Macaca mulatta: one gene and its partners. Each later gene encodes a partner of the first gene's protein in a complex. Links are inferred from orthologs where the notes say so. Each region holds a gene or a part of one and is shown on either strand. Other genes may lie near its edges.

The links.
Region 2: the proteins of SUMO2 (region 1) and USPL1 are in contact, whole or in part, in a crystal structure (PDB 7ZJV), measured with the Homo sapiens proteins. The link is inferred for Macaca mulatta from reciprocal best matches to the Homo sapiens genes SUMO2 and USPL1. Residues at the interface, in NP_008868.3 of Homo sapiens: Gln25, Asp26, Gly27, Ser28, Val29, Arg59, Arg61, Gly64, Gln65, Pro66, Ile67, Asn68, Asp71, Gln75, Leu76, Phe87, Gln88, Gln90, Thr91, Gly92; in NP_005791.3 of Homo sapiens: Ala234, Cys236, Trp237, Gln322, Leu323, Arg324, Met330, Glu331, Ser332, Val334, Phe335, Leu339, Thr378, Thr380, His393, Gly395, Pro396, Asn398, Arg407, His421, Phe422, Val423, Glu424, Tyr451, Asn454, Asn455, His456, Phe457, His493.
Region 3: the proteins of SUMO2 (region 1) and SENP2 are in contact, whole or in part, in a crystal structure (PDB 3ZO5), measured with the Homo sapiens proteins. The link is inferred for Macaca mulatta from reciprocal best matches to the Homo sapiens genes SUMO2 and SENP2. Residues at the interface, in NP_008868.3 of Homo sapiens: Arg56, Arg59, Arg61, Phe62, Asp63, Gly64, Gln65, Pro66, Asn68, Thr70, Asp71, Gln75, Leu76, Glu77, Asp82, Asp85, Phe87, Gln88, Gln89, Gln90, Thr91, Gly92, Gly93, Val94, Tyr95; in NP_067640.2 of Homo sapiens: Gln385, Asp386, Leu395, Arg396, Tyr408, His409, Trp410, Leu411, Asn412, Asp413, Glu414, Ser439, Thr440, Phe441, Pro444, Lys445, Arg456, Trp457, Lys459, His474, Val477, Trp479.
Region 4: the proteins of SUMO2 (region 1) and RANBP2 are in contact, whole or in part, in a crystal structure (PDB 3UIN), measured with the Homo sapiens proteins. The link is inferred for Macaca mulatta from reciprocal best matches to the Homo sapiens genes SUMO2 and RANBP2. Residues at the interface, in NP_008868.3 of Homo sapiens: His17, Asp26, Gly27, Ser28, Val29, Val30, Gln31, Phe32, Lys33, Ile34, Lys35, Thr38, Lys42, Leu43, Arg50, Gln51; in NP_006258.3 of Homo sapiens: Asp2630, Asp2631, Val2632, Leu2633, Ile2634, Val2635, Tyr2636, Glu2637, Leu2638, Pro2654, Thr2656.
Region 5: the proteins of SUMO2 (region 1) and TDG are in contact, whole or in part, in a crystal structure (PDB 2D07), measured with the Homo sapiens proteins. The link is inferred for Macaca mulatta from reciprocal best matches to the Homo sapiens genes SUMO2 and TDG. Residues at the interface, in NP_008868.3 of Homo sapiens: His17, Asn19, Asp26, Gly27, Ser28, Val29, Val30, Gln31, Phe32, Lys33, Ile34, Lys35, Thr38, Lys42, Leu43, Ala46, Glu49, Arg50, Gln51, Gly52; in NP_003202.3 of Homo sapiens: Met165, Arg281, Gln283, Val286, His287, Ile290, Asn305, Met306, Asp307, Val308, Gln309, Glu310, Val311, Gln312, Tyr313, Thr314, Phe315, Asp316, Leu319.
Region 6: the proteins of SUMO2 (region 1) and ZNF451 are in contact, whole or in part, in a crystal structure (PDB 5D2M), measured with the Homo sapiens proteins. The link is inferred for Macaca mulatta from reciprocal best matches to the Homo sapiens genes SUMO2 and ZNF451. Residues at the interface, in NP_008868.3 of Homo sapiens: Asn19, Ala23, Gly24, Gly27, Ser28, Val29, Val30, Gln31, Phe32, Lys33, Ile34, Lys35, Lys42, Leu43, Ala46, Arg50, Gln51; in NP_001026794.1 of Homo sapiens: Asp30, Ile31, Gln32, Phe33, Val34, Ser35, Glu36, Gly37, Pro38, Leu39.

What each region holds. Positions count from the first base shown.
Region 1 is NC_133421.1:84,872,769-84,877,768, reverse strand, and holds the start of SUMO2 (small ubiquitin-related modifier 2), read left to right. Parts: upstream 1-1,556; 5' UTR 1,557-1,685; coding exon 1,686-1,706; intron 1,707-3,320; coding exon 3,321-3,452; intron 3,453-5,000. UniProt on the Homo sapiens protein: Ubiquitin-like protein that can be covalently attached to proteins as a monomer or as a lysine-linked polymer.
Region 2 is NC_133422.1:10,494,636-10,499,018, reverse strand, and holds part of USPL1 (SUMO-specific isopeptidase USPL1), read right to left. Parts: intron 2,328-4,383; exon of another isoform or gene 2,239-2,327; intron 1,799-2,238; coding exon 1,669-1,798; intron 1-1,668. UniProt on the Homo sapiens protein: SUMO-specific isopeptidase involved in protein desumoylation. Specifically binds SUMO proteins with a higher affinity for SUMO2 and SUMO3 which it cleaves more efficiently. Also able to process full-length SUMO proteins to their mature forms.
Region 3 is NC_133407.1:97,769,771-97,774,153, reverse strand, and holds part of SENP2 (sentrin-specific protease 2), read right to left. Parts: coding exon 4,328-4,383; intron 1,940-4,327; coding exon 1,808-1,939; intron 420-1,807; coding exon 216-419; intron 1-215. UniProt on the Homo sapiens protein: Protease that catalyzes two essential functions in the SUMO pathway.
Region 4 is NC_133418.1:19,348,137-19,352,519, reverse strand, and holds part of RANBP2 (E3 SUMO-protein ligase RanBP2), read right to left. Parts: intron 4,229-4,383; coding exon 4,151-4,228; intron 1,745-4,150; coding exon 1,574-1,744; intron 957-1,573; coding exon 864-956; intron 579-863; coding exon 400-578; intron 1-399. UniProt on the Homo sapiens protein: E3 SUMO-protein ligase which facilitates SUMO1 and SUMO2 conjugation by UBE2I. Involved in transport factor (Ran-GTP, karyopherin)-mediated protein import via the F-G repeat-containing domain which acts as a docking site for substrates.
Region 5 is NC_133416.1:111,202,743-111,207,125, reverse strand, and holds part of TDG (G/T mismatch-specific thymine DNA glycosylase), read right to left. Parts: intron 3,154-4,383; coding exon 2,912-3,153; intron 2,094-2,911; coding exon 2,024-2,093; intron 208-2,023; coding exon 72-207; intron 1-71. UniProt on the Homo sapiens protein: DNA glycosylase that plays a key role in active DNA demethylation: specifically recognizes and binds 5-formylcytosine (5fC) and 5-carboxylcytosine (5caC) in the context of CpG sites and mediates their excision through base-excision repair (BER) to install an unmethylated cytosine.
Region 6 is NC_133409.1:125,138,368-125,142,750, forward strand, and holds part of ZNF451 (E3 SUMO-protein ligase ZNF451), read right to left. Parts: intron 2,996-4,383; coding exon 2,865-2,995; intron 1,368-2,864; coding exon 1,181-1,367; intron 1-1,180. UniProt on the Homo sapiens protein: E3 SUMO-protein ligase; has a preference for SUMO2 and SUMO3 and facilitates UBE2I/UBC9-mediated sumoylation of target proteins. Plays a role in protein SUMO2 modification in response to stress caused by DNA damage and by proteasome inhibitors (in vitro).

The sequences.
Region 1 (5,000 bases):
GATCATTAGCAAAGAGATGGCAGCGAAAGCGGGTGAAATCATCCTCGGAGAGGGAATTGAGTGATAAAAGGATCTTGAAGAAAACCCTAAGGAACAGTTAAGGGAAGGAGTGAGTAAGAAAAAGAAATTGCAGAGAGAACAAAGGACAGGCTAGAGATGAGAGGAAAACCTACCTCCTGCAAAGTTCAAGAGAAAGAGTGACAAACTGAGAAGCATACTGGATTCAGCAAAGAAGTCTGCGGTGACCTTGTGGAGAGCAGTTTTAGTGGAACTTTGGGGACAGCACCAGATTGCAGTGGGTTGAGGAGTGAGTGGGAGGGGAGGGGTTGGAGACAGCTGGCAGGGACATTTTTTCAAGCTGTTTGGCCAAGAATGGAGAGAGATAGGATGGTAACTTAATAGAATTGAGAGCTTCTTCTTTTTTTTTTTTTTTTTCTATACTAACGGAGGAGAGGAAGAAAATTCAGGGACAAAAGCAAATAATAAAGCCCAGGGGGAGGAGCAAGATGGAATCCAGTGCACACACTGGATTGTTCTTCAGACAGGAGGGATGCATGTCTATGTTTTAACTGGATGCAAGGAGGAAATGATTAAATTGGCTGGAAGCTTGATTGTTGGGTAGTTCTCGCTTAAGGATACTGTTTCCTCTTGGAAGATAGGCGATGAGTAAGGAGTTCGTTGAATGAATACACGAACATTTTCCCGTAGCTAGTCAAAGTCTAGGGTTACCAGCAGGACAGAAGAAGACACTGCAGGCCGGGTATGGTGGCTCACGCCTGTAATCCCAGTACTTTGGGAGGCCGAGGCGGGCGGATCACGAGGTCAGAAGACCGAGACCATCCTGGCTAACACGGGGAAACCTTGTCCCTACGAAAAATACAAAAAATTAGCCGGGTGTTGTGGCGTGCGCCTGTAATACCAGCTCCTCGGGAGGCTGAGGCAGGAGAATCGCTTGAACCTGGGAGGCAGAGGTTGCTGTGAGCCGAGATCGTGCCACTGCACTCCAGCCTGGGCAACAGAGCGAGACTCCGTCTCAAAAAAAAAAAAAAAAAAAAAGAAGAAGACACTGCATTTGAGGCAAGAGTCCGGTGGGAAGCAGGTTAAGACTGACTGAGAGGAAGTAACCATGGGAGGGCTGCTGGTCCACTGAAAGAGAGAGATTTTTCCAGAACCTCATGCTGGGGCTTTGATTTAGGAATCCCCTTCTTCCTCTAGTCAGTCAGCCTTCCCTGGCCTATGGCTCACGTCTAAAGCCTCGAGCCTCATCGTTCCCACCGAGGACCAGCTGGAAGCCATTTTGATTATGCTCCACCACGAAGGAGGACAATACAGCCCCGCCCAGAGCCAGGCGCGCCCCCGCGGCGGGCCGGGTGCGCGTGTCCGCGCTTCTTCCCGCCGGCCGGGCGGGCGCCTGGCCCAGGACGCGGTGGCGCGGGGCGGGGGGTGGGGGTGGTTATGTAAGCGTTGCGCGCTCCCGCGAGGCGCCAGCCAATGGGAGGCCCCGGCGGCTCGTGCTCGCGCACGCAGGGTGGGGGGAGGGAGCGCACGACGTGCGCGCACCCTCTCCCTCGTCCACCGCTGCCGCCTCCTTCTTCTGCCGCTCCTGGTGCTGCTTGTGTGCTCGTTTGGTGCGGACCTGGTACCTCTTTTGTGAAGCGGCAGCTGAGGAGACTCCGGCGCTCGCCATGGCCGACGAAAAGCCCAAGGTGAGCTCGGCGCCGGCCCCTTCGCCTCGCCGCGCGGTCGGGGTCAGGGCGCGGGCCGGGGTCCGGCCAGAGCTCGCCGCTGGCTCCCAGCGCCTTCCCGGGCCCCCCACAGGGCCGGCCGCAGCTCAGGCCCCGGCGCTCCGCGCCATTTTCCTCCCTCCCTCTCTTCCTCCCTCCCGCGCCGGAGGAGGCCCCGCCGCTCTCTCCCGCCCCCGGCGGCCTCCGAGTGCGCGCGGGGCGCGAGTTGGGCGGGCAGATCGCGGACGCCCGCGGGCCCACCAGCCCCGAACGGGGATTCTTGGCCCAGCCGTCCGGCGCGCGTGAGGAGGGGCGTTAGGGCGCGCGGGGTCTCCACCCTGCGCCGACCCCGCGTCGGGTGTTGCAGTCTCCGAGGCGGCGGGGAGTCCCCTGGGCTCGGGCTTCACCTCTCAGGGGTAGAAACCGCGGGCATCTGGGGACTCCTGCCCGGGGCGGCGGCGGCGGGGCGAGGGTTCGGGGCGAATCAATGGGCTGCTGATGAGCAGGAACCTGGATGCCCGCTGGCCGCCGTACTGGGCCTGGGGGTAGGGGGATTCCCGTGGAGTATTTCCCACTTTAATGGCCTCAGGGACCTGAGGGGGGAGGGGCAGCGGCTTTTCCCTGGGTGCCAACGAACCCCTAATCCGCGAAGACCATGTGGTTTCATGAAGTTGGAGGCACAGGTAGGAGCAGAGAGACTTTGTGCGGCTTAACTTTTGAATGCGGCTTTTGAGGCACCCGAAGACTTCCCGGGAGGACTGGGGGACACCCATCATCGGGGCACACGGGACTTGCTGCTTTTAGTTTGGTGACACCTCCCGCCTCTCGCGCCTTTACTTTCTGAAGCGTTTTAGGGCTACAGCATGCCTTCTACACTCGATTTTGGACAACTTTAGGTTGGGTCGAAATCTACAAGAAACACTTGGGATAAAACTGTGTATTTGACCCATGACAACAAAGGGGAGGGGAGAATAAGTGCTCTTAACCGAAGATAAAAATGAAGCTGCTAATAGAGGAGAACGTAACTGTGGTCCTGAGTATTACCGCTGTTCCGGAGGGAATCGGGATATTCTTCGATTTTTCGTGTGTGTGTTTACTTTAATGGAGATTGGATTTAGGTTATTAAACTGAGTTTGGTAACTTTTTAACGACAACGGTAATGAGTTTTGAATGGCAGGCTGTAGATTTATTGTTTTGTTTCTTGCAGTTGTACTTAAAGTGCTTAGAAAAGAGACTCTTATTTTTAACTTTTTTTGGGGGTAAAATATATATTTTGGGAGTGATATATGCCATTTTAGAAAGTTTAGCTTCAAGAGAACGTTCAATACACTGAATAGGACCCAACTTTAAACATGTATTGTTGTTACTGATAGTATTGCATGTAGGCTTTTCTGTATCTGACAGCTATCTAATACTGTTGCTGCAGGATTTCTCCTCTTTCACATTGATTTCAGCAGCTGAAAACAGCCGTATGCCGTTTTAGCATACCGTATGAGAAACCTGTTGATTTTTGAAGCAACTTAGGGCTGCTGCTGCTTTATAAAAGTGTGTGTTGATCACATTTCCCAAATTATACTTTTATTTTTCTTTTAACAGGAAGGAGTCAAGACTGAGAACAACGATCATATTAATTTGAAGGTGGCGGGGCAGGATGGTTCTGTGGTGCAGTTTAAGATTAAGAGGCATACACCACTTAGTAAACTAATGAAAGCCTATTGTGAACGACAGGTGAGGAATTCATATGTGTACTTCCACTGAATAAAACTATTTTTAAAAATCTTATTTTCATGGGAACAAAAACTAGCCTGGCATAATACTACAGTGACTTTTTGATGGGATGAATATGCACTTGTACTTGGCATGTCAGTTTTATCGTGCACTTGGTAGCTTGCTCATGAAAACCCTTAGGATGATTTGCTTAGTATTATATGTGGTTCCAGTCCTGTGCCAGAAATCCATCAAATTGTATTTACAATACTTGTTTTTTGGTTTTTTTTTTAACCAAGGAAATGTAATTTTATGTTTATAAGAAAGTAAGAGTGAACTTGGTAAAATTACTTAAGAGTCTTTTATTATTTTATTTTATTTTTTTGAGACGGAGTTTCATTCTTGTTGCTCAAGCTGAAGTACAGTGGCGTGAGCTCAGCTCACTGCAACTTCCACTTCCCGGGTTCAAGCAGTTTTCCTGCCTCAGCCTCCTGAGTAGCTGGGATTACAGGTGCCTGCCACCACGCTTGGCCAATTTTTTTTAGTATTTTTGGTAGAGATGGGGTTTCATCATATTGGCTAGGCTTGTCTCAAACTCCTGACCTCAGGTGATCCACCCGCCTCGGTCTTCCAAAGTGCTGGGATTACAAGCATGAGCCACTGCGCCAGACCAAGAAGTCTTTTTTTTTATTTTTTTTTTTGAGATGGGAGTCTTGCCGTATTTTTTTAAGCTAGAACTTATCTACCTTGTAAATCGTGGGGTTTTTTTTGTTTTTTTTTGGTTTTTTTTTGACAGAATCTTGTTCTATTGCCCAGGCTGGAGTGCAGTGGTTCAATCTCTGCTCACTGCAACCTCTGCCTCCTGAGTTGAAGCTATTCTTTTTTTTTTTTTTTTCCCCCCCGAGACGGAGTCTTGCTCTGTCGCCCAGGCTGGACTGCAGTGGCCAGATCTCAGCTCACTGCAAGCTCCATCTCCCGGGTTTATGCCCTTCTCCTGCCTCAGCCTCCCGAGTAGCTGGGACTACAGGCGCCCACCACCATGCCTGGCTAGTTTTTTGTATTTTTTTTTTAGTAGAGACGGGGTTTCACCGTGTTAGCCAGAATGGTCTCGATCTGACCTCGTGATCCGCCCGTCTCAGCCTCCCAAAGTGCTGGGATTACAGGCTTGAGCCACCGTGCCCGGCCAAGTTGAAGCTATTCTTATGCCTCAGCCTCCTGAGTAGCTGGGATTTCAGGCGTGCGCCGCCATGCCCAGCTAATTTTGTATTTTTGGTAGACCTAACCTCAACTCCTGACCTCAAGTGATCCGCCCACCTTGGCCTCTCAAAGTGCTGGGATTACAGGCGTGGGCCACTGTGCCTGGCCCCTTCAGATTGTTCTAAACAGCTTCAAAGTAGAATAAGGCTTAAACCTATGTAAGTTGGGAAATTGAGTTTGAGTTGATACTTGAAAGATCAGTGAAAATAAAAACTTCCTTTAGGCCTGGTGCAATGGCTCACATCTGTAATCCCAGCACTTTGGGAGACTGAGGCGGGTGGATCACTTGAGATCAGCCTGGCCACCACAGCA
Region 2 (4,383 bases), on another chromosome or scaffold:
TTTTTTCAACTCAGGAGGGTTAGCTTTGCTCATGGTGTCTACTCCGTGGCCTCCCTTACCCTGTTCTAGTAGATCTAACCAGTTAAAAACAAACAAACAAACACTTTGTTGCCTGCATTCCCTGGAGCATCCTCCCAGACTGAACTCTCCTTGACTACTCCTTAAATACCTAAAAAAGATTTCATATTTAGATAATGAATATCTAAGTAATTTTTTTTTTCTTTTTTTTTTTGAGACAGAGTGAAGCTCTTGCTGCCCAGGCTGGAGTCCAGTGGCATGATCTCAGCTCACTGCAACCTCCGCCTTTGGGTTTCAAGTTATTCTCCTGCCTCAGCCTCCCAAGTAGCTGGGACTACAGGCGTCCACCACCATGCCCGGCTAATTTTTGTATTTTTAGTAGAGACGGGGTTTCACCATGTTGGCCACGTTGGTCTCAAATTCCTGACCTCATGATCCACCTGCCTCGGCCTCTCAAAGTGCTGGATTACAGACGTGCGCCACCATGCCCAGCCTTCAAAAGTAATATTTTTATATCACATTTTACTTTAGTAACTTAAAGAGACTTCAAGTTTTCTAACTTAAGTGTCGCTGGGCATGGTGGCTCACACCTGTAATCCCAGTAATTTGGGAGGCCGAGGCAGCTGGATCACTTGAGGTCAGGAGTTTAAGACCAGCCTGGGCAACATGGTGAAACCCTGTCTCTACTAAAAATACAAAAATTAGCCAGGCGTGGTGGCACACACCTGTAATCCCAGCTACACAGGAAGCTGAGGAAGGAGAATTGCTTGAACCCAGGAGGTGGAGGCTGCAGTGAGCCAACATTGCACTGCTGCACTCCAGCCTGCACGATGGGAGTGAGACTCCATCTCAAAAAAAAAAAAAGTGGAAAAGAGTTATTTCTGTTGTAATAATTTGAATACATAACCAATTGAGCCAGTTTGGTCATCTTCAATACCTTGCCTCCCTGACTCCTCTTCTAAAACCTATTCCTCTCCTTACATGGTAGGTACAGGTTGAATATCTTATCTGAAATGTATGGGACCAGAAGTGTCTCCAAGATAAAGAGATAACCTGGAGATGGGACCTGGGCCTAAACATGAAATTCATTATGTTTCATATACACCTTATGCAAAGCCTGAAGGTAACAGGTGCATCAATCATGGCCTTTCTAATACGCCGCTGAGAGGCATTAGGAAAAGTAGAAAGTATGGCTGAGACAGTTCACGTGTAAGGCTTCTGGAGGTGGTTGGTCTTTCACAGGACTATGGGAAGAAATGAGGAAGCTTGCATTACCTCTGAGAATTGCTGCTAGCCTCCAAGAGTCTAAAACCAGTGTCTATAATGTTAGAAACCTAAAGTAAACAAGCAAAACCCCTCAACTCTAATAGAGGAATAAACAAAAATGCCTATAGTTTCAAGGCATTCTGAGAGGTATTCTTACTCAGCAAGGACTCTGGAGAAGGGAGGTGTACTATTCCTCTCATCGTCCCTATTTCCCACTGAAGAACTCCTTAAGAAATCTCCTACTACCAGTCTATCAAACCATGAGGTTCTGACCCTTCCAGTTTAAAGAAGCAATCAAACTGCAGTGTCTGGTGCTCAAATTGTTCTCTTAACCTGTGGTGGAGAAACTAGAAGGACCCATTTTAAAAAACAAAAGAAACTAACCTGTTTTGATACTGGTGTCCACACTGCGAACATTCGAAGTCCCAAGAAAAAGAATATAGGAAGAGCTTCTCAATGTGGGGTTCTAGTTTTAAGAGCAGGGGAAATGCAAACACAGGGCTTTCCATATCACCTTCAAAAAGAAAAGGAAAAATTACTGCTCATAATCAATAATGGCAAAAATTAAACCAAAATTGTGAACTACTGTCTTTTCTTACTATATTTACAGCATGAATATGTGTTAATACAGTATGACAGAATAAGTCACCCAGAGCTGGGAGAGGGAAAGTTTATAAAGCATTTCTCTAAAAATGTCCATCATAAATATTTAATTAACACTTCGATCTCTTTCCTTTTCCTTGGCAGACATTTATGAAAATGTCTTAAGACAAAAAAAACACACAAAAGACCCATACTGTCTTCCATCTTTCTAGATTTCTCAGGAAAAAAAAAAGATCTTGGAACTATAATAGCCTTAGAGTATATTAAAACAAAAATTGATGAGGTGTGGTGGCTCACACCTTGTAATCCCAGCACACTGGGAGGCCAAGGCAGGAGGACTGCTTGCATTACCTCCGAGAATTGCTGCCAGCCTCTAGGAACCTAAAACCAGTTTCTATGACGTTCGAGACCAGCGTAGCCAATATAGCGAGGCACCATCTCTACAAAAAATAAAATGAAATAAATTAGCTGAGAGTGGTGCCACACACCTGTAGTCCAAGCTACTCAGGAGGCTAAGGCAGGAGGCTCATTTGAACCCAGGAATTTGAGGCTGCAGTGAGCTATGATCATGCCGCTGCATACCAGCCTGAGTGACAGAGCGACACCCGTCTCTAAAAAAAGAAAAAAAATTATGGAAATGGTTTGCCACAGATGTTAAAAAAATGTAACCAGTGAAACACTGTAGAAACACACCAGAATTGGCCATTTCTATTCTGATCATCTTGTTCCACCTGTGGAAAGGGTGTGGCCACACAATGGTTAAATGACCAGCCTCAACTCTTTGGACTCTTCATCTACCGTTCTTCCTAACTTTTCAGTCTAATCCTTTCCTTTAACAACTTTACGATTGAAGATTTGAATCTTGTCACTGAAAATAACTGAACAGTGAATGTTGGCTTTCAGCTTTGAGACTGGAAAGTAAGCTAAGTAGCAGAATCTACATGCTTCTCTTACATTCTTTTTTCCAATTGGTTTCTCTCCTTCCTATTCTCAAGGAGCTCAGATGCTCCCTTACTGATTTGGCCCAAGAGACTGAGTCCTTCCATGCCTTCCCTAACCTGGACAGAGCCTCACTTCCATGGTCCAGTTCTCCCCCTAGCCTGGAACTACAGTTGCCTCGAACAGTCACCTTGGCAGGACCACAAGGCAGACAGTAGGTGTTATTACCTAAGTAATAACAATCATGTGGGGTTTCTAAAAATTACTGATTTCCTGAGCCCCATCCCTGAGATTCTAATTCAAATGTCCCTATGATTGGTATTTACTTTTAAATTCCCTTGGTGCTTTTCAATGCACAGTTGAGGTTAAAAATGGTAGATGTGTCTACTGGGAAAAGTACTAAAGAAGCAACTAACAACTTGCCCCCTAAATATTCTCCTGGTTCTGAGAACTGCACCCACTCTCAAGAGGTGGGACACCAGCCTGCATATTTCTAGGGAACGCCTCTGCCCTACAATAACGTACCCAGTGGTAGATTCCTAAGTCAGACCGCTCAGATTCTTTCTCCCAAGAAGATGACCATCCAAGGTAATCAAACAGTGTTATACTTCCTTATGATGTACGTATTTCTACATGGTAGATGAGTATAATACAAGCAAGTTATACCCTAACCCTAAGCATATTCTATAAATATCGGTAGTTACAAAGGCTATTTTAGTCACCTTTGTGGGACAGTCTCACTGCTACTTTTGAACAAAAACATAAAAAAAGTTTGTATTATTTATTTATTTTGAGACAGAGTTTCGCACTTGTTGCTCAGGCTGGAGTGCAGTGGCGCGATCTCAGCTCACCGCAACCACTGCCTCCTGGGTTCCAGCAATTCTCCTGCCTCAGCACCCCCGAGTAGCTGGGATTACAGGCTCCTACACCACGCCTGACTAATTTTTTGTATTTTTAGTAGAGACAGGGTTTCACCATGTTAGTCAGGCTGATCTTGAACTCCTGACCTCAGGTGATCCACCTGCCTCCGCCTCCCAAAGTGCTGGGAATACAGGTGTGAGCCACCGGGCCCAGCCATAAAACAAGTTTTAAAAAGTTTTTTTGTAAGTAGAAATACAAATAAATCTCCCAGAAATGAAAATATGCAACACTGTATGCATAAATAGTATGTCATATAGCACAATTTTGTAATTCATTACCAGCCTTTAAATCCGCATTCTATTGTAAGTAAATATTAATTGAAAAAGCAAACAATTTACATTTCATAATCACAATATAAAATCTTCAGGTCTAAAATACATAAAGTTCTCCGTGAATTAAAATATCATAAAAGAGCTCAAAACACATGGTTAAATAAGTTATATTTAATTAGTAAGATCTTCAGCTAAAATATAGCACCTATCCTTGAATGGGCAGTAAAACAAGAGAGGAATCCTCCTGCATTGAAAGAGCTGTATGTTTGCCCAATTATTATGATTACACAAAATAATAATTTAAAAATTCCTTCTGTTACATAGAAAACCAGGCCCATGGCGGAGGTGGAGCAAAAGATGTAAC
Region 3 (4,383 bases), on another chromosome or scaffold:
CACCCGGCTAGTTTTTTGTATTTTTTAGTAGAGACGGGGTTTCACCGTGTTAGCCAGGATGGTCTCGATCTCCTGACCTCGTGATCCACCCGTCTCGGCCTCCCAAAGTGCTGAGATTACAGGCTTGAGCCACCGCGCCCGGCCAGGCAGCATTATTTTTAAAAAATGGTCTTTATCCAAAGTCCAACAATTAACCATTAACCCTCTCTACTCACCACCAGGCTCCAATGTACCTTCCGATGAATAGGCACCAGAATAATTTCTTGTTCAAAGAGATTTACCCCTTTGGTCCATCGTTTCACTGCTTGGTAACCCCCAGACTTTAATTTAGGATAGAAGAAAGTACTAAATACATGAAGTGCTGGATAGCCTTGCTTTCTATTTCTTTCCACCAGAAGATTCATGTAAAAATTAATGACCTACAAAATACCAAGGGAACAAAAGTTGGAACATGGCAAATATATTATCAAAACTAAATTTCTACCTGAATAAGGATGAATTCGAAGGTAAGGTACTAAAGAAGGGGATAAAAGGACTCTCTATAGTAGAAGACAGGGAAAAAAGTGATCAGTGCAAAATGGAACACATGAAAATGGAATGAAACTCTACTTTTAAGGCATGTAAGTAACACTTAACGGCCAGAAGATGGAATCCAGGAAGAAAGTCTGTGCAATAATAAAAAGATCTACATAACTGTAACACAGCAAAAAAATGCAGAAATATTAACAGTAAGTGAATTTTACTATATATAAATTAGACTTCAATTTTAAAATATAAACTGGAAGGACATACACCAAAATATTAACATTTTATTTATCTTTAAGTGGTGGTACTTTTGAACAGTAATATTTTTTACTTTTCCTGTATTTTCCAAATGTTCTACAATAAACAAATTACATTATAATGTAAAACAAAACATTCCTATTTTCAAAGAATGTGTTTATAAGTAACTAGTCATAGGGGATTTCCCTCAAAGAGAGAAGATGCAGGGGCTAAACAGTTCGGGAAAGAACCCACCAGAAAATTGTCAAAGAACTTAAGAGTTAGCTTCTGCTAAATGTAATAAGGATACAAGATGACAAGTTAGGCAAAATTTTTCAGCTATCACTCAAATAAAGAAAAATACATAGAGTATATAGTAATCAATATATCCTTTTATTACTCAAAAAATAAAACAGGCCAGGCGTGGTGCCTCACGCCTGTGATCCCAGCACTTTGGGAGGCCAAGGTGGGCAGATCACCTGAGGTCCAGAGTTTGAGACCAGCCTGACCAACATGGAGAAACCCTGTCTCTCCTAAAAATACAAAATTAGCCGGGCGTGGTGGTGCATGCCTGTAATCCCAGCTACTTGAGAGGCTGAGGTAGGAGAATCGCTTAAACCCAGAAGGTGGAGGTTGCATGGAGCCAAGACTGCACCATTGCACTCCAGCCTGGACAACAAGAGCGAAACTCTGTCTCAAAAACAAAAAACAAAAACAAAAAAACAGCTACTATAAGAATTCACCTAAAATACAGTATCACTTGCTGCTTCCTCCTATTCATCAGTTGTACCCAGGGTTTACTGAAGACCAGTAAATGGAGTGGTGGATGTAATAAAGTACAGACGCAGAAAAGGGAAATATTGCTAATTAAAGGCAGAAAATCAGAACTAACCATCTTTTTAAGATTTAAGATGTTTTTGTTTTAATTATAACTAAGAGTTGCTTTACCAACCTCTTATAACTGGGTAGAAGTCACTTTGATTACAGATAATAAATAAATAGTTAAAATTAATGATGGCCAAAAGGGGGAGGGAATACAACTTACTTCATCATTGAGCCAGTGATAGTTCTTTAATGTCTGAATATCTCCTCGAGTAATTCGCAATTTGAAAGCACAACTTAGGATTTCATCCTGTGGGCCATGGCCTAGGGCATTACTGATTTCCTTTTCCATGTCCTGAATTAGAAAGTCCAGAAGTTGTTATTTTAATATAGAACCCATTATCAGTTATTGAAAACTCTGAGACTGAAAAAAGTTTTTCATCTCGGCAACACCTGACTCTTGAGAAAAATATACTATCAAAGACTTACTATAGTATGAAAACATTTTTTTCTTATTTTTTAGTAATAGAGATGGGGCCTCATTATATTGCCCAAGTTGGTTGCAAACTCCTGGGCTCAAGCAATACCCGCCTTGGCCTCCCAAAGTGCTGAGATTATAGGCATGAGCCACCACACCAACCCTGAAAATATTTTAACTTGTAACTACAAAGCACTCTTACTAATACAACAAATGCTGGTTCACTTATTAGCTTGTGGAAACAATAATAATAATATTTACATCTAAAGTATGGTCTCAATTATCCTACTACTATGTATTAACCACTATGAGCCAAACATGGTGTTAGATGCTTGAAGCACATCATTAATCCGTATTAGTGGGGAAGATATTATTACCATTTTATAGAGAAGAAAACTGAGAATTTATTTTACATATTCAAAGTCATATAATTATTAAAAGGTAGAACAAATATTTGAACCCAGGTGTGTCTAATTTCCTGGCCTTTGCTCCCTTCATAATACTAAAATCCTGATTTCCACTTTAAACTTTTATTTTTTTTTGAGACAGAGTCTCACTTTGTCACCCAAGCTGGAGCGCAGTTGCATGATCTCACCTCACTGCAATCTCTGCCTCCCGGGTTCAAGCGATATTTGTGCCTCTGTCTCCTGATTAGCTGGAATTATAGGTGCGCACCACCATGCCAGCTATTTTTTTTTGTATTTTTAGTAAAGACGAGGTTTCACCATGTTGGCCAGGCTGGTCTTGAACTCCTGACCTCAAGTGATCTGCCTGCCTCAGCCTCCCAAAGTGCTGGGATTACAGGCGTGAGCCACTGCACCCATTCTCTCCTTTAAACTTTTAAAACATCAAAATAGGCTGGGTGCGGTGGCTCACGCCTGTAATCCCAGCACTTTGGGAACCCAAGACGGGTGGATCATGAGGTCAGCCTGGCCAGCATGGTGAAACCCCGTCTCTACTAAAAAGACAGAAATTAGCTGGGCATGGTGGCATGCACCTATAGTCCCAGCTACTCAGGAGGTTGAGGCAGAAGAATCACCTGAACCTGGGAGGCAGAGGTTGCAGTAAGCTGAGATCGTGCCGCTGCACTCCAGCCTGGCGACAGAGCGAGACTCCATCTTAAAAATAAGTAAATAAAACATCAAAATAAGATTAGGACATCTAAGGGGTTATACCATCCTTTTTGACATGAAGAGAATAAGCAAACAGGCAGAAACTTGGAAACCAGGCAGCAATTTAGCAATTGACTCCTTATGGAATAAATGGCTTCATCATACTAAAGAATTATGCAGATAAATGCATTATTTAGAATACAAAACTAAATCCATTAACCCAATAGAAATTATTTTCCTCTAGGCCCGGGGCAGGGACTCGCGCCTATAATCCCAGCACATTGGCAGGCTGAGGTGGGTAAATCACCTAAGGTCAGGAGTTCGAGACCTGCCTGGCCAACACGGTGAAACCCAGTCTCTACTTAAAATACAAAAATTAGCTGGGCGTTGTGGCAGGTGCCTGTAATCCCAGCCACTTGGGAGGCTGAGCATGGAGAATCACCTGAACCCAGGAGGCAGAGGTTGCAGTGAGCCAAGATCGCGCCATTGCACTCCAACCTGGGCAACAAGAGTGAAACTCCATCTCAAAAAAAAAAAAAAAAGAAGAAATTATTTTCTTCTAAATATATGCTTCCTCCCCCAGCACACAGCTTCACTATTTTATGGATCTCTCTCTCTCTCCACCTGCATGCCCAATATAACAGTAAGTATTCAAGAGATTTGCCTACTAGGGCAACATTGTAGAGGAAGCCAAGATGTGGCACATCTTTAAGAATTTTAACTACCTTCATTCTTCATGTTCTGTAAGTTTTTATTATTTTCAAATGCAATAATCAGCAAAAGGGGCATTTTAGTAAACTGTAACCACTTTTTTAAAAAATGCAATGAACTTATTCCTAATACCAAACCCATACTATATAACTCAACATATTTGAAGGTTAGAATTTACAAAGAATCTGTTGTATTCCAAGATATGAGATGATTGTGTTGACTCACATTTGCTAAATATCAATCTGATCCCTTAGGCCACTAATGATCATGACTCACTAAAGATCAATGTAGTCAAAGTGAATAAACAGACTATGGACCTGATTTGTTTTCATACATTCATCTCTAGTCTGGAGAAAGTCCTCAAAACAAAATATTCAAGTTTAGAATAACTGAGGTTATTTAAAGACATGCCTCTTTTTAGGATCAATACAAAGAACAATACCTCTGTGAGTTCAAGGAGATCGTCCGTTCTTCTGTCCCTCTCTTTGCCTGAGCAAT
Region 4 (4,383 bases), on another chromosome or scaffold:
AGCCACAACCCATTATTACTATTTGGTAAGAACATTCTAGGTCAGGCGCAGTGGCTCACACCTATAATCTCAGCACTTTGGGAGGCCCAGGCGGGTGGATCACCTGAGGTCTGGAGTTCGAGACCAGCCTGCCCAACATGGTGAAACCCCGTCTCTACTAAAAATACAAAAATTAGCCAGGCAGGATGCCACCACAACTACTCGTGAGGCTGAGGCAGGAGATTCACTTGAACCTGGGAGGTAGAGGCTGCAGTGAGCCACGAGCATGCCATTGCACTCCAGCCTGGGCAACAAGAGTGAAATTCTGTCTCAAAAATAAACAAATGAGAACATTCTAAAGTTTACCGCATCAACAAAAGCAATGGAACTAAAAGGAAAATTTATTAGAGATATTCTTACTTGAGCTTCCTGAACTTTTTGAAGCTCTGATTGAAAGTCTTCCCCATTTCCATTGTCTTCATCAGTATCACTACAGACTCCACAAAAAAATGTAGGTGGAAGTTTTAACGTATCTGCTTTTGCCTTCTCTTCAACTGTTGGTTTCTTTTCCCAAACAATAATGCATTCTTTCTCATTATCTGAAAAATCAGTACAACACAAGCAAACGAAATTAGATGAAGCCCAACTTCTCTACAACAATGGTAGTCATCAATATAATCTACAGACCCAGGTAACAAGACCTGTACATGCTAATGAAAAACAAGGACCACCCAGAAAAGAATATTTTTCACCTAATGTTAAAGTATTTTAAATCACCATGGGCATAGTAAAATTGATAATTATAGAAATTACCAGACTAGGTTATTCCTTCTAAATAGAAGACTTGTTAAAAGCAGTATAAATGTCCTTTACATTTAACATACCTGCTGTATTTTCTTCCAAGGGTCTACATTTTTCTGAGCCATCCAGATACAGTTTTCCATTAAGTTTCTTGACAGCTGTTTCGAAATCTTCATCTTAAAATACAATTGATTAAAAGAATTTCTAGTTAATTTTGGGGGGTTTTCCTTGCTTAGGGACTATCTCCAACTTCACCCTTTCTCCCTCTCCCCATTTGAATTGCAGTCAATTTTGCCAATTTTATATCCTTAATACCTCTCTTACTGCTAGAGCTTTAGCTCAGCCTCTCATCTTGTTTGAGCTGCTCTCATTTTAACTCATCTTCCAATCTCCTTGTCCCATAATCCAATACTGTATACCACTGTCCAACTGATTCTATTGAGACTTTTATTTAACTGCTTAGCTTAAAAAATGGCATACAAAGTTTTCCATTGGAACCTTGTCTGCCTTATCTCTCTTCCACATCTTTAAGACTCCAGAAAAATTATGATTATTTTAAATCCCCTCAAAACATGTGCCTGGCACATTAGCCATCCAAAAAATGCTTGCTCAATGATCACAGTCCTTTTGATCCTTATATCCATTGACCACTTACACATACATTTAGGGTGAATATACCTGCAAGGATATTAGTGATAAGTTCTAAGAGGCAGGCTTAAAATAATTACACCACACTCCCAATTTTACTAAGATTAGCAGGAACACAGTGTTTTTGAAATAACAAAAGTTTTACCATCCTCCTCTTCTTCACTAACATAATCTGGTCTATTCTTGTAGCAGAAGAAAGTTGGAGGAAGTTTCAGTTTGGTTGCAAGGGCTTTCTGCTCAGCGGTTGGAGTTAGTTCATATACAATGAGAACATCATCATCTGAGGGAGAATCCTCAGGTTTTTTCTTCTCTTTTGCTGTAACACCAGTCAAAAAAATTGACAAAGGTAAGGTATTAAGTATTGACATTAATACTCTAACTGAAAATAAAAACCATAGAACTTGTCTGCAGGTTAAAACAGCATACTGATAAAAAATACATATACTTTGATGCAGAGATGTACGATAATCATGAATTAGAATTAGCATCCTGATTTAGTGTTCTACCAAAAACCCTTAGTGAACATAGAATCTATTTAAAACCAAAGAAAACAAAAGTCTTGTGTTTACTTAATAGTTATTGAAAAGAATTACTACTGATTTCTAGAATTTAAAAAGGTTAAAAATTTGAAAGTGTTGCCTAACTATACTTAGCATACAGTAGGTTTATGAAAATATCCATGCATTTGCAGCAACTAAAAAAATCTTAAAGAAAACATAAGCAAGTATTAGTAGACATATGAAACTAATCCAAAGCCAACTGTGATTAGTTCCTGTAAGGAGAGTTAACAATTGCCAAGAATGGAAGGTGATTAGAGTTGCATCTACTTTGTCTACATTCCAAGCATGATACTAGATAAAATTAAATAAAAACTGTTACTCTATGGGTAACTAACACTATAAAATCTAAGATGATTCATATGGCTGAAAACCACCCATCTCCAGCCACCATCAATGCAAAGGGCAAAAAATTAGAGAGAGAAAAAACTTCTATATGCAACCTGTTCTGATCTATTAATGTAAAGAAGAATTTCTGGCTAAAGGAGTTTAATAAAGTAAGCCAGTCAAGAAGCATGCCATGTATACCAACTGGTGACAGGGAAACATTCTGAGAGCTATGCTGTCCAATATGGTAGCCTAGCAACATTCTATTAAAACCTTACAAGGTGGCTAGTCCAAATCAAGACATGCTAATACTAAGTGTAAACACACACACTGGATTTTGAAGACTTGGTGAAAAACAATAATGTAAAATATCAATTTTTATGTTAATTAGAAGTTAAAATGATATTTTGGATATCATGAGTGAAATCAAATATATCAATAAAATTACTTTCATCTGTTTCCCTTTTTAACTGTTTCTTTTTATTCTTTTTAATATGGCTACTAGAAAATTTATTTATTTAATTTATTTGAGATGTGGTCTTGCTTTGTCACCCAGAGCTGGAGTGTAGTGATGTGATCATAGTTTACTGAAGCCTGGAACTTGTGGGCTCAAGTGATCCCTCTGCCTCAGCCTCCCAAGTAGCTGGGATTATAGGCACAAGCCTGCACCAAATGACAATTTTAAATTACATACACAGGTTATACTTTATTTCTATTGGATGACACTGCTCTGGAGAACCAGCGCCCTTCCTTTCACAATGTTAAATTTGTCCTTCTCCTACATTATAAACAAAAACTTAGTATCATTACCTAGCTAGGAGAAATAACAGTACACCGTAAGATAAAGGTTCTTGTTCCAGTTCTACTATTACTCAGTCAAGACACCTTGGGTAAATGAGATAGCCTCTCTTGGCCTCAGTTTACTCATGTCTAAAGTCTTCATTTCTAAGGTGCCTTGGGACAATGACATTATCAGATTCAAAACAGAATAAGGCTCTTTGTTCTACAGTAGTGTATAGACACATTCGTTCTTAGGTCAGGGATTCCTAACCTAGAGCTCACAGAAACTGTATGCAAGTATACATCCACTTTCGAAACTGTATGCTAGTATACATCCACTTTTAAGTTCACTTTTCATATTTCTCAAAGACTGTATCTTTAAAAATAAAAGATTAAGAGCTACCTTAGCCAGTAATAAAACTGGTATACTTAAAAAAAATCAGAGATTGTTACTTTATCATTGTACTTGTTTGGCATGGCTAAGATGTGTTACTGGTCACTAATGGTGAGATTTCACTTCCCTAAACTTTCTAGAAGGCCTTCAACAGATCCCACTTCTTGTTCCACTCTAGCAGCCACACTTCTAAAAATGATCTGTGCAACATATATAATACACAAGCTGTAGAATGCTGGCTGTTAAAAATGGGGTCCATTTTCAAATACAACATTTTTCTAAACCGTGCACAAAAGAACAGCCCTACAGGGACACTCTTCCATATTGTATACATGCCGTTGCCAATACATTTGAATACTGGCAGACGTTAGTGGCTAAAGATAAACATTAGATAAAACATAGGTCTTCATTGAGCAGACTTGAAATAACAGAGTAATGAAGTACATTACAAATCAGCATCCCAGTATATTTTAAAAAACAAACCAAAAATAAAGGATGTCATGCCACCAGTCAAAAGGTGCTTTGCTTAAACTGGCATTCTTTAACATGCATGTTGTAGTGTTAAGTACTTAATTTCATACAGCCACAGTTATTAATACTTTGCTAAGGGCTACCAGCTGCTAAAAACTGCTGTTATCTCATACTGAGAATGCTAGTTCTATACCTTTGTTCTCAGGCTGTGAGGAAGGGGTGCTAGTCCAAAAGGCCATGGGATTAGATTTAAAAAGGCTAAAATTAAATCCTAGAAAATGAAGAATATTTCATTTTTTAACATTTTGGGAAACAAAATGAATATGCTTTTAAAACATAAAAAGCCAGAATCCCTCAATTTATACCACCAATCTGATTGTCTTATATATTCATTTACCCCTGTAGTTTCATTCTTTGCTCATTTAA
Region 5 (4,383 bases), on another chromosome or scaffold:
TGTTCCTAGAATATTTGGGGGACCAGCCTAGTCAAGGTTCCAACCCATAAAAACAAATGCTGTGTACTTACCTGGAGAGATCTTTGCTGCCAGGCGTCGTCCTTTCCACCATGTTGGTAAATCCAATACCATACTTCCCTGGTAAAGTATGATCATCCATATGGTTCAGCTGGACCTCGCTGAGCCCTGACATAAACAAACACTTCCCTGTGAAATGAAAATTCAGTTATTTTTTTTTTTTAGACAGGGTCTCGCTCTGTCACCCAGGCTAGAGGCTAGAGTGTAGTGGCACAATCATGGCTCAGTGCAGCCTCGACCACCGAGGCTCAAGCAATCCTCCCACCTCAGCCTCCTGAGTGGCTGGGACCCCAGGTGCACACCACCATGCTCAGCTAATTTTTGTATTTTTTGTAGAGACAGGGTTTCACCATGTTGCCCAGGCTGGTCTTGAACTCCTGGGCTCAAGTGATCTTCTCACTTCAGCCTCCAAAACTGCTGGGATTACAGGTGTGAGCCACCGCGCCTGGATTTAATCATCATAATTATCTTGCGAGATACTATTATTATCTCCTTTTCACAGGGGGTTGAGGCAAATGCTTGCCCAAGAATATATAGCAACTCAGTTTAGGAAACTTTGAGACTATTTTGCTTTACAATTGGTGATACCACTACCTCACACATAAATATACAGCAATAGACTAACAACAAACACCTTGACGGTGAAGAAATTTAAAAGTCCAAACTTCCCTAAAAAAGGAATTTTTTATAGGAACAATATGTTATTATTAGTTCCAAAACCACATTACTGTCAGTTGCCCTAAATGTTCTGAATGTTACCGTTAGATAATCAATTAGTATTTCCTTAGGGTATATTGTATACACTGATCTATTAGGCGGTATAAGGTGAGATGATTTACATACAAGACAGCTTATATAGAGAAAGTAATGCAACAGTAGTTACGCTTGTTTTTTGTTTGTTTGTTTTCTTGTTTTTTTGATACAGGGTCTAGTTCTGTCACCAAGGCTGGAGTGCAGTGGAGTAATTGTGGCTCACTGCAGCCTCTACCTCTCAGGCTCAAGCAATCTTCCCAATCCAGCCTCTGTAGTAGCTGGAACTACAGGTGTGCACCACAACCTCTACCTTATTTTTTGTAGAAATGAGATCTTGCTATGTTGTACAGGCTAGTCTCAAACTCCTGGCCTCAAGTGATCCTCCTGCTTTGGCCTCCCAAAGTGTTGGGATTACAGGCGTGAGCCATCAGATCCCGCCAACACTTCGTTGTAAAACTTACTCTAAAAATATAAGTCTTTACTACTATTTTATGCTTTCCTAGAAAATAATCAGCAGAAATCTGGAAATGTTAGTATTATGTCTGCGTTGCCACAGAGATGTACTATACTATCGTTCCTATGTCTATAGATAACAATTTTTTAAAAAAATCATTTTTAAAAAGTAATACAACTTGACCGGGCGTTGTAGCTCACGGCTGTAATCCCAGCACTTTGGGAGGCTGAGGTGGGCAGACCACCTGAGGTTGGCAGTTCGAGACCAGCCTGACCAACATGGAGACACCCCATCTCTACTAAAAACACAACATTAACCAGGCGTGGTGGCACATGCCTGTAATCCCAGCTACTAGGCAGGCTGAGGCAGGAGAATCACTTGAACCTGGGAGGCGGACGCTGCGGCGAGCGGAGATTGCGCCATTGCACTCCAGCCTGCACAACAGCAAAATTCCATCTCAAAAAAAAAAAAAAAAAGGTAGTACAACTCATTAGAAACAATTCAAACAAAAGAGAAAGTACTCTTATTCATGTCCCTCCACTCTCAGACTAAAATGTTAACAGTGACATATCATTTCAAACCCTCTTATTTTCATGTACAGACGCATACACAGAATATGAAACATGAATGTGTATTTACAGTCTCTTTCTTTTTAAAAACACAATTGGTTTTTTTGAAAAAACCTGTTAAAAAGGTATCTAATTTAAAAGTAAATTAATTTAAAAGGTAACCACTTACAAAAATGGTTTCCAGGTCCAGGGTAATGATGCCCTTTGTAAGCAGCCATTAGTCCCGGGTTTATGCCAATCTATAAAACAAAACAATTAAGACGTTTCATCTTAAAAAGTAGGACCTAAGCCTTAGGGTTTCTATGGAGGAGTGGTGGACAAAATTGAGTTGATTAAAATACAAATTTAATTGAGCATCATAAGCAATATCATTTACCAATCACTACTCTTGATCTGAACAAAGTATTTCATACATGGGAAAGAGATTTTCTTTATTTTAAAAGTTTTGCTGTTATTTTAAAAAACCAGTTTGACTCCTTCATGATCCCAGGCCTCTCGCCCTCACCAACTGGGCTGCTTTGAGTCTGGAAAGAGAGGTCCTGGAACAATCAATCAATCTGAGCCCATGTCCAGCCACAATTCTGGTTCTCAGCTTTCAACAAGCTCGCTCCACATCACCTACACAATTATTCACATGCTGATGTTTCTTACAGTTACTGACAAAAATAAGAGCTTAAAATCTGTGCTACCATTTATGAAGTCTCCACAGGTATTCAGTCGAAGTGATTCACATGGATTATCTCATTTACTTGCAACCCTATAAGGGAGTGGTATTATCACCCTTGGTTTATCAGTGAGAAAACCGGTGTTCAGAAAGTTAGTAAGGCTTACCCAAGATTATACTTGTGACAGGATTTGAACCCAGACAGCCTACATTTGGAGCCCACCCTCTTAAACACTCCCATATAACACAAACTCATGCAGGTGACACCATTTACCACCAAAAGGATTCTTAGAAATGGTCCTTTTCAGCAAAATGCTATTTGCAAGGACAACTGTTAAGTAAAGCTAATCCCCCAATACTACTTATAAAATCCAACGAGGACAAAGATCTTACAATGACAATGTCCAGATTGAAGGTCAAAATATCGGGGAGAGTCTTGGTCAGAAGTTCAGCTTCTGAAATACCATTAAAACGGTCTACTTTTCTTTTTACTTTAAATGTGTCTGTAATTTTTTCTTGTTTTTCTTTTGATTTTGCAGACTTGCCAGATTTTTTTGACTCAGCGGGTTTTTTGGGTTCCACTGGTTTTTTTGGTTCTGTTGTTCTGGGTTTTCTTTTTCTTCCTTTTGGAGCCTCTGAAACACAATTTCCAGAAATGCAGAAAATCTTAACTTAGAAACTTTAGCAGCTTTCCCAGAAGAGTTACCCAATAAGCACCTTTTGTACCTGTCTCCCCAAAATTAAACTCTTACAGTCCCAACATCAGTCCCCTCTGCACTATCCTCCCCGTCTTTCACCCTAGAACTGGGTTCACGCAATCCCCCATGCCTACTTTCCTTCCCCTGCTAGCTGTTTGTGGGAAGAATAATCATAGACTATTATTTTCTACACAGCATTACTTGGCATCTTAACCTTCTCAGGGATACAAAGTTTCTATGTATCATTTTATATAAATTCTAAATGTAAATACATAAATAAGCAAACAAGAACAGAAAAATAGAGAAACAGGAAGGAAGGGAAACATTTTAACTCAATTTCCCCAGTAGAAAACCACAAATGGGCCAGGTATGGTGGCTTATGTCTATAATCCCAGCACTTTGGGAGGGCAATTTGGGAGGCCAAGGCAGGCAGATCACCTGAGGTCAGGAGTTCGAAACCAGCCTGGCCAACATGGTGAAACCCTCGTCTCTACTAAAACTATAAAAATATTAGCCAGGCATGGTGGTGTGCACTGTAATCCCAACTACTCGGGAAACTGAGGCAGGAGAACTGCTTGAACGCAGGCGAATTGCTTGAACGCAGGAGGTGGAGGCTGCAGTGAGCTGAGATCATGCCTCTGCACTCCAGCCTGGACAACAGAGCAAGGCTCTGTCACCAAAAAAAAAAAAACAGAAAGAAAAACACAAATGGCTTGTGGGCTTGTTTTAGAGATGAGGTATATTCTGTTCCATACATAGTTGAAGAGAGAAATTTAGGGGTGCTCAGGATGACATCTCTGGGTTGGCAGTATTTTTCAAAAGGCAGGAGGAGGGATCCGACCTCAGGACCTAAAGCAGTTTCTCAACCTCCACACTACCGACATTTCAGGCTGCACAATTTTTTGTTGTGGGTGGCTGTCCTGCACATTACAGAACGTTTAATAGCACCCTTGATCTCTACCCACTAGATGCTAGTAGTACCCTGCCAGTCTTTATCATCAAAAGTGTCTTCAGACAATGTCAAATGTCCCTTGGGAGGGCAAAATCACCCTTGATTGAAAACCACTGACCTATAGTTGCCCAGCAGGAAGCCCTGGTTTTCTTACCCTTAATTATTTAACATTTCTCCTAACTACTCAGGCCTCTAACCGACTCTACTCCTCTTTG
Region 6 (4,383 bases), on another chromosome or scaffold:
CTTGGTCTCCCAAAGTGCTGGGATTACAGACGTGAGCCACTGCACACAGTGGCTTTTGTTTGTTTGTTTTGTTGTTGTTAAGAAAAAAGAAATTCACAGATAGAAAAAACAAGTGAAAACAAAAATTAAAGAGGAAGTGACATAAAGATACAAGAGTTCATTTTCTTTTATAATCTTCCATCATTACTCTGCTTTAAAGAGTATAAAGAGCACAGATTACTGATTCCTAACTTTGCAGAAGTGAATTGATCCACTATAATCAGTGACTAGAGCAAAATTCTCCAAAATGGGTTTTCAATCAAAATGTACTTCCAAATATATTGAAAGAAAAAAAAATCTAGGAGGCAAGCAGAGTTGAAAACTTTAAAAAAGGCACACAATAAAAATGCCAAAAAGCCACTATTTTTCATTAAGGTAATTCATTAATATCTTCAAACCTTATTCATGAATTTAAATTATTAGCCTATTTAAACATTAATTATTCTATCCATATTTCTTCAGAGATTACGAAAAAGAGAGGTATAGCTCAGTGGTAGAACATTTGACTGCAGAAATTATGAAAAATGAAAAACAAAACTTCTGAATCCTTAGAATTACATCTTTTCTTATGTACTAGGAAGTGAAAATGGACATCAGCACTCCTTTCATTGAATAATCTCACAAAGGTACAGAAGAAAGTGCAAGGCCCAGCAATAAGATAGGATGTACCCACTTCTCTAAGGACCTAAAAGCCTAACAGCATTTCATTTTGTCACTGTCAACCTCCTAAATGATCGCCTTTTTTATTGCTTTCCTGTTTTCAACTGTAAACACACTGCTTTCTAAAAGACTGAAGGTCAATTTGGAATTTCAGGAACAAAGTGAAGATGTGAATTCTGAGCTCTTAAAATTGTAGTAACATACTATAACGCATGAATATATATTTTATATACATCAATAGAGATTTTATCTACTAGATCAAAAAAAGGCTCCAGAAAATTATTATGAATTCATCCTCCTCCTAAAACACTAAAGAATGAAAGTGAGATTTAAAAAAAAAAGAGAAGTAAGATAGAAGTAAGAGAACATGATGGTTTAGTAAGCAGGCAACAGTTCACTAGCGGACAGCAGTTTATTGGTTTCTCTCAGCAGTGAAGTCTCCTCCTCTTGGGTGGTTTGCACTGTGACTGCAGCTGCGTACCTTTGGTGGTATCAGATATGCTATTTAACAAGGCACACATCATATCTCCCTCTAAGTGGTGAGGGTTTAGTATATGAGCTGGCCTCTGAGTCTTCTTAAATTGATTCTCTAGCTCCAGAAAACCTTGATCTCCTGAGAGGATGGTGAAAGGAATTTGCTTGGGTAGTTGTTCATCTAGACGGCCAGCCTAAGTTAGAACAAATGGCACAGGTTGATAAAAAATCAGCACGAGTTTCAAAACAAGTTATATCTATTCACAATGAACACATACCTAGGAAGGTATATTAAGCTTGTTCCCTAATCCCTACCAAAGTATGACACAAAGATCTCCTTCGGCTGGGTGAGTGACTCACGCCTGTAATCCCAACACTTTGAGAGGCTGAGGCAGGTGGATCGCTTGAGGTCAGGAGTTCAAGACCAGCCTGGCCAACATGGTGAAACCCGGTCTCTATTACAAAATGCAAAAATTAGCTGAGTGTGGTGGCATGTGCTTATAATCCCAAGCTGGATTCTCCAGGCTGAGGCTGGAGAATCGTTTGAACTTGAGAGGTAGAAGTTGCAGCCGAGATTGCGCCACTGCCCTCCAGCCTGGGCGACAGAGTGAGACTCCGTCTCAAAAAGAAAAAAAAAAAAAGAAACAGAGAGAAAGACTTCCTTCATAAATTAAATACCCCACATTTAATCAAATATAAGATGCTATTAAATTATATGATAAGCTATTTTATGTGCCATAAAAAGAAAAAGCCAAAATGGAAGTCCAACAGACTTCACATAAAGTTGGAATACCAATGGGCTATACACTCAATGTAAGGGTAAATAAGAAATAAATCTGTCATAGAGAAAAGGTAAGCAAGGCAATTTGCATGATTCAATCTTGGCACTAGATAGAGGGAAAAAGAAATCTTTTGTTGTTTAAACCATAAGCTGTAGTCAACAAGTTTGCCGAGTAAATTCACATTATCAGTGTGACATGTAAGTCCTCAAGCAAAAAATGTAAAGTGGGTCTCAGTTTGGCAGTTTCTCTAGGTACCTGGCAGAGGCAGAAGCAAATGTAAATTCTATCTAGGCCGACAGTGATTGTTAAGGTACCTCTTAATTTTAGAGATACTAAAATATGAAAATGTCTTAATATATATCAAATACAGTATCATCAGCGGGTGCAGTGGCTCACACCTGTAATCCCAGCACTTTGGGAGGCCTAGGCGGGCGGATCACTTCAGGCCAGGAGTTTGAGACTAGCCTGGCTAACAGGGAGAAACCCCATCTACTGAAAATACAAATATTAGCCGAGCATGGTGGTATGCTCCTGTAGTCCCAGCTACTTGGGAGGCTGAGGCACAACAATCGTTAGAGCCCAGGGGGCTGAGGTTGCAGTGAGCTGAGATTGCGCCACTGCACTCCAGCCTGGGCAACAGAGCGACACTGTCTTAAAACCAAAAAACAGTATCATCTCTTGATCATTTATCCCACAAATAGTTGAGTATCTACCATGGATAGCTGAAGGTTTGCTAGAAGTTGAGGATAAAGCAATAAAAATATGCTATGGGGTCCTGCCTTCATAATAGTCACAGGTAGAACCTGAAGTACTGAAGAATGGTCTATAACTCTCATTACAATTCAAGTGGGAAAAAAATGCAAGTGGGTGTGAGATTCACATTAGATTTTGAATAAAACAATGACTCACATGCATACATATGGCAAAATCAGCAGCATCTTTTCTTTTACTACAGCGAGGATGAAGGAAGAAGCATCCAATCCTGTTCAGGTAATTATAAATTTTACAGTTGAGTGGAGGCTTCCAATTGGTGTTTCCTCCTATTAATTTCAGAAAAAGCAAAAATGATAATCAAACAGGAGAGGAAAGGCCAAAAATTTTATCAAGAAAAAACATATACTAGAAAAAAAATTTTCTAGAGGCAAAGTACTAAATCAGAATGTGGAAGAACTCCATCCGAGCATAAGCATCAACATCTTGTTGCTGTACAGTCTTGAGAAAGTGGACTAAATTCCCTGAATCTGTCAACTCATCTTAAAACTCACATGGATATTAAGCAAAATCAAAAGTAATGTGTGCAAAAATTCTTTGAATGGCATTATTCTGTAAGTGTAAGCATAAGTGGTTTTTACAAATGTCATCACTGTTCAATGCAGAAATGATGGGCAATCACCAAAGCTCAACTTACTAAAGCAATTATACTGGCTAACTTATCCAGGTCAGCATGTTTCTATCTTTAATCCCAATCTTTCTCTTTACATGCTATTTTCTATCAAACACGAACAACAGCAGATGCTCACTATACTAATCCTCTGTAAACCAAAGAAGCCTCTCCCCCAGGTTTGGTCAACAATTTGTAAAGAGGTTTAGATGAAGCTGAACACTTAAGAACAGCAGGATGAACCGAAGAGGCAGTTATGACATGTTGAAAATGACATTAGTCCTGTAGTTGAAAGGCCAAATTTCAAAAGCTAACTCTGCTATTTATTAGTTTTAAAACTTTGAGGGAAAAAAACAAAAACAAAAACAAAACATCTGCTTCTCTGTATTTTAAAAGGGATAAAACCATAATAATCAGTAACCATATTAGTACAAAGCCATAGTGCCTGACACACTTTAGGTGTTGAATAAAGGCTTTTTCAATCAGTATCAAAAGATCCATGAACTGTTTCTTTTTTTTTTTTTTTTTTTTTTTTTTTTTTTTTTGAGATGGAGTCTCGCTCTCTTGCCCAGGCTGGAGGGCAGTGGCGCGATCTCGGCTGCAACTTCTAGCTTCGCCTCCTGGGTTCACACCATTCTCCTGCCTCAGCCTCCCAAGTAGCTGGGACTACAGGCAACCGCCACCACACCTGGCTAATTTTTTGAATTTGTTTTTAGTAGAGACGGGGTTTCACTGTGTTAGCCAAGATGGTCTTGATCTCCTGACCTCACGATCTTCCCACCTCGGCCTTCCAATGTGTTGGAATTACAGGCGTGAGCCACCGCGCCCAGCCAAAAGGTCCATAAACTTTTGAGTCACCAGATAGAGCTAACATTTACCACAGAGGCATGTAGAGAAAATGACTCTAGCAGAGTAACTATAATACAAAAGAACAATATTCCAATCATGTTCCTATGATCTATCCAGGAAGGTTTAAGGGGAGGCTTTTAAACTGAACTATAGTCTAAGATGTGGGAAAAACGGTTTTCTTTTGTTTTTCTTATTAAC